2 linked regions of the Macaca fascicularis genome follow. The protein of the gene in region 2 interacts with the protein of the main gene of each other region in a pairwise test. Links are inferred from orthologs where the notes say so. Each region holds a gene or a part of one and is shown on either strand. Other genes may lie near its edges.

Region 1 (3,568 bases), on a different chromosome or scaffold from region 2:
CCTCAGACCCAGGAGTCCAGACCCAGGAGTCCAGACCCCCAGCCCCTCCTCCCTCAGACCCAGGAGTCCAGACCCAGGAGTCCAGCCCCCAGCCCCTCCTCCCTCAGACCCAGGAGTCTAGGTCGCCCCCTCCTTGGGGCCCCACCCCACTGGGCCTCTTCTCTCTGTTTCTTAGGCCGCACCAGGATGTCGGACACCGAGGAGCAGGAATATGAGGAGTGAGTGCCGCACTGGGAGGGGTTGGGGCGTGCAATGGTGGAGAGGCTCTCCCACCCCAGGTCTAACTCTCCCCTCCCTCTTTCCCCACACCCGTCCGCAGGGAGCAGCCGGAAGGTGAGTAGGGAGTGGGCCGGCCCCTTGGGATGGAGACACCCCCAGGAACTCTTGGGACGGGAGGCGAGGCTTGTGTCACCCTGGCGGGGAAGGGGCAGCTCAGCCCTCGGGCCCTCGCCCGCCCTCTCCGGGTCTGGAGCGTCTCCCCGTGCCATCCCTGCACCGCCAGGGGGCACATGCCCAACGCAGCCGAGGCCAGAGGGACCCCCGGTCCAGCAGAGGCTGGAACCTTGGTCTCTGGCCACTCCCCGCACCCCTGCCCGAGCTCCTAACGTTTTCTCTTCTGTGCCCCCATCTCCAGAGGAGGCTGCGGAGGAGGAGGAAGGTGAGGTCCCGGACTCCGCAGGTCTGGAGCTGGGGGCGGGGGGCTGGGGGCGGGGACGCTGGGCCCGGGAGGAGGGGGCGGGACGGGGCTCCCGACGGCCTCGGCTCCAGGTCCTCTAACAGCCTCTCCCGTCTCTCCCTCTCTCCCCCGCCGCGCCCGGGCGTGGCCGCTCCCCCCTCGCTCCCCACACCCTCGCTGCTCCTCCCGCCCCTCCCCAGCCCCCGAAGAGCCGGAGCCGGTGGCAGAGCCAGGTAACCGCGGCTGCTTCGCTTCCCGAGACCGATGTCGGGGGCCCGGGGGGACCCCCGATATCCTCGGGCTCCAACCTCCACGACCACCCTTCCCTCCCTCCGCCCCCATAACCCGCCCCCAGGCCCGGTCCTTTAAGCCTCTGAGAGCTCCTGCGCCCTCTCGGGGCCGGGAAGGGAAATGGCCCTGCCGTGGCTTTAACCCGTTCCCTTCCTTCTTAAAGGGACCGACACCCAAGCCTTCTTCCCCAGTCTGGAGGAATCTTTATAGAAGGGTTGGATGTTTGCGGAGAAGCACCACCCCGTCACCCTCATCTTCGCCTCCGACCTTGCCTGTTATTTTCTCCCCCATATACATTCAAAGGTTGGGGCTTGGAATTTAGGATTGCAGAGGAGGCCAGCCCTGGGAGTCAGGGTCTCCAAGGTGGGGGTGGAGGGCCAGCTGGGGAGAGAGCTCTGGGGTCACTGAATAAAGACAGAGGTTGGCCCTCCCCGCACTGCTGGGTCTTAATGGAGGAGGGCAGGCGCTCTGGGCATATAAATAGAGAAGGGTCTGGGGGTTTGCACTCCTGGGAATGCAGACAGCGGCGGTGGGGGGTCCCCACACCAGTTCTGAATGTATATCTGATGCGTGTGACCCTCTTCCTCCTTTACAGCCTCCCTGACTTTCCTTCCCTCTTTTCTTCTTCCCATGCCCCTCCTCTGGAACTGGACTCCGGAGTCCTTCCCTGGGCTCCTGGGGGCCGAGGCTTGGGGGGTCCCTCCCCAGGGTGTGTCAGGCCTAGTCCCTCTCCTCTAAACTCTTGCTAATTATCTCTTTGTATCCCCCACCACCAACAGAAGAGGAGCGCCCCAAACCAAGGTGAGACCCTACAGGGTGGGGGGCCCCAACCATACATCTTCCTAAATATTCCCTCTATCCCCAGAGATAGGGTGTGAGAAAGGCAGAGATGGAGGGAGGAAATTGAAACAGCAGTCAACATTTCTCTACCTCCTTCTGCTCCTCCTCCCTCCCCCTCCTCCCTCCCCCTCCTCCCTCCCCCTCCTGCCCCTTCCCCTCTCCTTCCTCCCTTCACCTCCTCTCCCTCCTTCCGCCTCCTCCTCCTCTTCCTCTTTTTCCCTTTCCCCTTCCCCTTCGTCTTCTCCTCCTTCATCATCGTCATAGTCTCCACTCTATTACCCAGACTGGATTGCAGTGACCCAATCCTGGCTCACTGCCTGGACATCATGGCTTCAAGCAATCCTCCCATCTCAGCCTCCCGAGTAGCCGGGACCACAGGCATGTGTCACCACACCTGGCTATTTTTTTTTTTTTCCTTTTTGTAGAGCTGAGGTCTTGCTATGTTGCTCAGGCTGGTCTCGAACTCCTATCCTCAAGCAATTCTCCCACCTCAGCCTCCCAGAGTGCTGGGATTACAGGCACAAGCCACCATGGCCAGCCAGTCTGTTTCCTTCTTTCCACCCAATGGTCCCTCTTCCCCTCGCGCCTTTACCATCACCCCAGCCTCCTCTCTGGCCTCCTTGCCTCCAGCTTGTGGCTCATCCTCCTCCATGACTCCAGAGAGACCTTTAACACCAGCGCTAACCCCGCCCCTCCTCTGCTCAGAATCTTTCCTCAACTCCCCACTACCCTTAAGACAAGTCAAAGCAACTAGCCTGCATTCAAAGCCTTCCCCATCTGGCTCCAGCCGAGCTCTGCAGCATTTCCCTTCCCCACTGACAGACACACAGTATTTCATGGTTCTCTAGCCACACCGTGCTTTTATACCCCGAGCCTTTGCACACACTGTGCCCTCTGCCTGCATAGTGACAGGTGGGAGGATCGCTTGAGGATAGGAGTTCAAGACCAGCCTAAGTAACAAAATGAAGTCCCCCGCATCCCTACAAAAAATTTTTAAAAATTAGTCGGGCACAGTGGCACACACCTGTGATTCCAGCGACTCAGGAGGCTGGGGAAGGAGGATTGTTTGAGCCCAGGATTTGGAGGCTGCAGTGAGCTGTGATTGCACCACCGTATTCCAGCCTGGGCAACAGAGCAAGACCGTCTCTAAAACATAAATAAAAATAGGGGAATGGGGCTGGGCGCAGTGGCTCATGCCTGTAATTCCAGCACTTTGGGAGGCTGAGGGGGGCAGATTACCTGGGGTCAGGAGTTTGAGACCAGCGTGGCCAACATGGTGAAATCCTGTCTCTACTAAAAATACAAAAATAATTGGCCAGGCACGGTGGCTCAAGCCTGTAATCCCAGCACTTTGGGAGGCCGAGATGGGCGGATCACGAGGTCAGGAGATCGAGACCATCCTGGCTAACATGGTGAAACCCTGTCTCTACTAAAAAAAAAAACAAAACAAAAAAATTAGCCGGGCGAGGTGGTGGGCGCTTGTAGTCCCAGCTACTCGGGAGGCTGAGGCAGGAGAATGGCGGGAACCCAGGAGGCGGAGCTTGCAGTGAGCTGAGATCCGGCCACTGCACTCCAGCCTGGGCGACAGAGCGAGACTCCGTCTCAAAAAAAAAAAAAAAAAAAATTAGCCAGGTATTGTGGTGGGCACCTGTAATCCCAGCTATTTGGGAGGCTTGAGGCAGGAGAATCGCTTGAACCGGGAGGCGGAGGTTGCAGTGAGCCAAGATCGTGCCATCGCACTCCAGCCTGGGCGACAAGAGT
Region 2 (3,744 bases):
AAAAAAAAATCAAAATACTTAAGAAGCCGTTTGAAATTATTTTCTCTGTGTTACACCACCAATCTGACATTAGATAGTTCATTTGTTTCCATTTGTTTTTAATTTTTATGGAGTGCTTTATTTTATTGAACTGTCTTATAAACATGTGAAATGTTTATAAGGTTCCAAAATTGTACTATATAAAAGGTATATTCATAGAAGTCTCATTCCCATCCCTATGCCCTCCATCCCATATAAGCAACTATTTTTGTAGAAGTTTGGGATTTATTCTTCCATTGTCTACCTTTTAAATATAAGTACTTAATGCGTATTTATCTCTCCATTACTCACATGTAATAGCATACTATAAACACTGTATGCACTTTGCTTATTTCACTTAATAGAGATCACTTGATATTAGTATATGTTTATTAGTATATATAAGAAATCTTCCACATCTTTTGTTTTTTGTTTTTTTTTTGAGACAGAGTCTTGCTCTGTTTTTTGGTTTTTTTTTTTGAGACAGTCTTGCTCTGTCACCCAAGCTGGAGTGCAGTGGCGTGACCTTGGCTCCCTGCAACCTCCACCTCCCAGGTTCAAGAGATTCTCCTGCTTCAGCCTCCCAAGTAGCTGGGACTATAGGCCAGTGCCACCATGCCCGCCTAATTTTTGTATTTTGAGTAGAGACAGGGTTTCACCATGTTGGCCAGGCTGGTCTCGAACTCCTGACCTCAAGTGATCTGCCCACCTCGGCCTCCCAAAGTGCTAGGATTACAGGTGCGAGCCACGCCAGGCCTCTTCCACATACTTTTTCATGGCTGCATAGTACTTCATCCTGTGTATGTACTATAATTTATTCAACCAGTTCTTTATCATTAGACATGTGAGCAGTTTCCAATCTTTTGCTATTCATTAATGCCATAATGAATAGTCCTGTACATACAGGTTTGTTGGTTTTTTGTGTGTGTGTTTGCCAGTATATTACTAGGTTAGATTCCTCGAAATCTAGTATTTGATCTAGGGCTACTGGATCAAATAATATGGCTATATATTGCCAAATTTCCTTGTTAACAGTATCACTTTGCCTTCCCACCAGCCATGAGAATGCTAGCCTTAGGTGTATTTTGATACCGTATCAGATTGAGGAGGCTGCAGAGATCAACCACAGACAAGGTTCCTGCCCCCAGGAATTCTCAGTCCTCCAGGAGGCCTACAGGCAAAAAAAAAAAAAAAAAAAAAAAAAAAATTACATAACATAATAAGCACAGGGAGCATTTACCCTGAAGCTAATGAATCTTAAGCTTCAGAGTCCTTTACTTATAGGGACCCTTTCCAATGTTCCAGGTATGTGTTCCCAGGGCCATTTTATAACCTTTCTTCTCAGGAGGACACCCCAAATTATTTAAGCTTCAGGCCCCACAAGATCTAAACCCACCTCACAGACTTAACTGTGAGCCTAAATTGGGGGTGAGAGTGGATTTCAAATCTCATCTGCAGCCAACTTGAGAGCAAGGGTTCCTATGATACTTAATGATTGAGACAAAATGAAAACGCTACTTTGATTGAGAGAGAGAGGTCCCTCCCCTGATTCGGATCAATAACCCACATAGGTAGTTAGCTGTCTTCGCAGAGCCTTCTATATATTCCCTCTACTTTTGAGGGCACGAAATAAGTCTTGGCTGACACCAGTGTTTCCAGCAAACAGCTGAAGACTTGACACTTGGATGGCACTCAGGACAAAAATCTTAACAGATTACAGAATCGTTATGGGTTTTTTAGTTTGTTTTTTTTTTAAGGGGAGGGGGTGTTACACTAGGAGTGGGTATTCAAGGTAGACACATCCCAAAATAGACACTTCAGTGAAAAGAGGCAGGTGTTTCCTCACCTGTAAAAACAGGATAATAAAACCTCGCCTTGTGGGGTCTGGTTAGGATTAAGCAAGATCATTTATATAAAGACCTAACCCAGTGCCAGACTCTCGGGAGAAGGGGAATAAATGGAGGGCAGAAAATAAAATGGGTTGATCTTTGAGCACAGCGACAGGGATTCTTTGTACATCGTGCCTTATAGAGCGAGCGCTATATAAGGAGGAGGAATCATCACCCTGCTGAGAAGTAAGTAATGGGTGCAGAAAAAATCGGGGAAGAAGGAATGGACGTTTCTGGCAGATGCTTACTGATCTAACAACTGGATGACTGAGAGATGCGGGCCTGAGTGACCCCGGGCTGGCTGTGGGGCCGACAGCGTGAGGGATCTGACTGACAGCGTGTGGCAGCCGAGCGACTGCGGCAGCGGCGGGGCCCCCATTGACTGTCCCGCCCCGAGAGCGGCCGGAGCGCGGTGGATCCTGGCTCATACCGAGGCTTCTCCTGCGCGCCGACTGCAGGCCAACCCTCCACCAGGAGCCTCCGGGGGGCGCCACGAGCACCGCAGCCAGGTGCAGGCGCCGCCGTCCCCTCACTCCCCACGCCGAGGTGGCCCTGGCTCCCTGCGGCCGCGGCCGGGGAACAATGAGGCGCCGGCTTCTTTAAGGGAGATACCACCGCGCCGGCGGGGCAGGGGACGGCGTCCTCCCAGATGATCGCACCCAGCCCCGCGTTGCCGCCGCCGCCGCCGTCTCGGTAACTGCACTGCCCGCAAACATGGCTCAGTGACTCGAACAAAAGCTGCAGTCTCCCTCCCGGCGGGGCGGACGCCAGGCCTCTTTGGTCGGGCCGCACCTCCCGGCGGGCCCGCCAAAGAGCACAGCGCCCCGCAAGCACCCGAGACCCGCGAGGAAGATGCACCGGGCGTTCCACCCCAGCGAGCCCCGCACCCCAGCCCGCAGCTCGGTAGGTCGGAAGAGGGGCGGGTAGGGGGAGGGGAGGCCGCGGCCGGGCGCGCGCAGCCCCAGGCCGGGACCTGCCGCTGCAGACCGTCCCTGGGGCCGCGGGCCCTGAGCGCCCGCTGCAGCTGGAGGGTGGCCGAGCCCCGGCGTGGCGTGGCCTCGCGGTTCCAGGGCCCGGCCACCCCTGTGGGGAGCAGCAGCAGTGGTGCGCTCCGGAGCGCGCACACCTCCGACGACTCCGGGCTCTGCAAATCCTCTGGAGAGGGAGGAGGCTAGCGGACCGCCGGCCGCGCGCTTCGTCGGTGGCGCGGAACGTCCCGGCTCGCGCTACGGAAAGCCGGAGGGGGGCGGGGCCGTCGGCGTAAGGGGGTGTGTCCGCGCGCACCACGGGGGCGCGCGCCGGCTGCTGACTGGAGGCGGCGGCAGCGGAGGCGCGAGCTGCCGGATAATGGCGGCCTGCAGAGCCCATGAGAGGGAGAAGCGGCGGCGTCTACCCTGAGGTAAATCTGGCCCTTCGGCGTGGCGGAGAGGCCCTGCTGCAGAGCCGACGGCCCTGCATGTGTCTCCCTCCCTGGGACGCCTGTCACAGACCTGTCAGCGGAGTCATCCCGGGGAAGGCCCCGCGCTCCTCAGGCCACCGGCCCCAGCCGCGGCCTCCTCTCACACTGGGGCCACCTCCCCCCAGCCCTCAGCCCCCAGCCCCGAGGAGTTGAGGCAACTGTTGGGCTGGCTCCTGTGAGCAAAGGGGCTCGGGAGGCTCCCCTCCGGGCTTCATCTGAGCACGGCCGAGGAGGGGGAGGGCCTGACACTTGGCCAATGAGCGCGGCCTGAGTGGCCGCGTCGGGCAACACCTCTGGCCGGGACTAGCCCTTCCCGGGTGCCAGCAGGTGTCTGGCCTGGCCGGCCCGCGTCCCAGCGCCTGGTTAGAGCAGTGGGAG

What was found.
Region 1: the proteins of TRIM63 (region 2) and TNNT1 interact in a two-hybrid assay, tested with the Homo sapiens proteins (2 studies listed by BioGRID and IntAct). The link is inferred for Macaca fascicularis from reciprocal best matches to the Homo sapiens genes TRIM63 and TNNT1.

What each region holds. Positions count from the first base shown.
Region 1 is NC_088393.1:63,015,637-63,019,204, reverse strand, and holds part of TNNT1 (troponin T, slow skeletal muscle), read left to right. Parts: intron 1-175; 5' UTR 176-186; coding exon 187-218; intron 219-319; coding exon 320-333; intron 334-634; coding exon 635-658; intron 659-876; coding exon 877-909; intron 910-1,746; coding exon 1,747-1,768; intron 1,769-3,568. UniProt on the Homo sapiens protein: Troponin T is the tropomyosin-binding subunit of troponin, the thin filament regulatory complex which confers calcium-sensitivity to striated muscle actomyosin ATPase activity.
Region 2 is NC_088375.1:209,028,597-209,032,340, reverse strand, and holds the start of TRIM63 (E3 ubiquitin-protein ligase TRIM63), read right to left. Parts: upstream 2,338-3,744; 5' UTR 2,156-2,337; intron 1,190-2,155; coding exon of another isoform or gene 1,138-1,189; 5' UTR 1,111-1,137; intron 1-1,110. UniProt on the Homo sapiens protein: E3 ubiquitin ligase. Mediates the ubiquitination and subsequent proteasomal degradation of CKM, GMEB1 and HIBADH.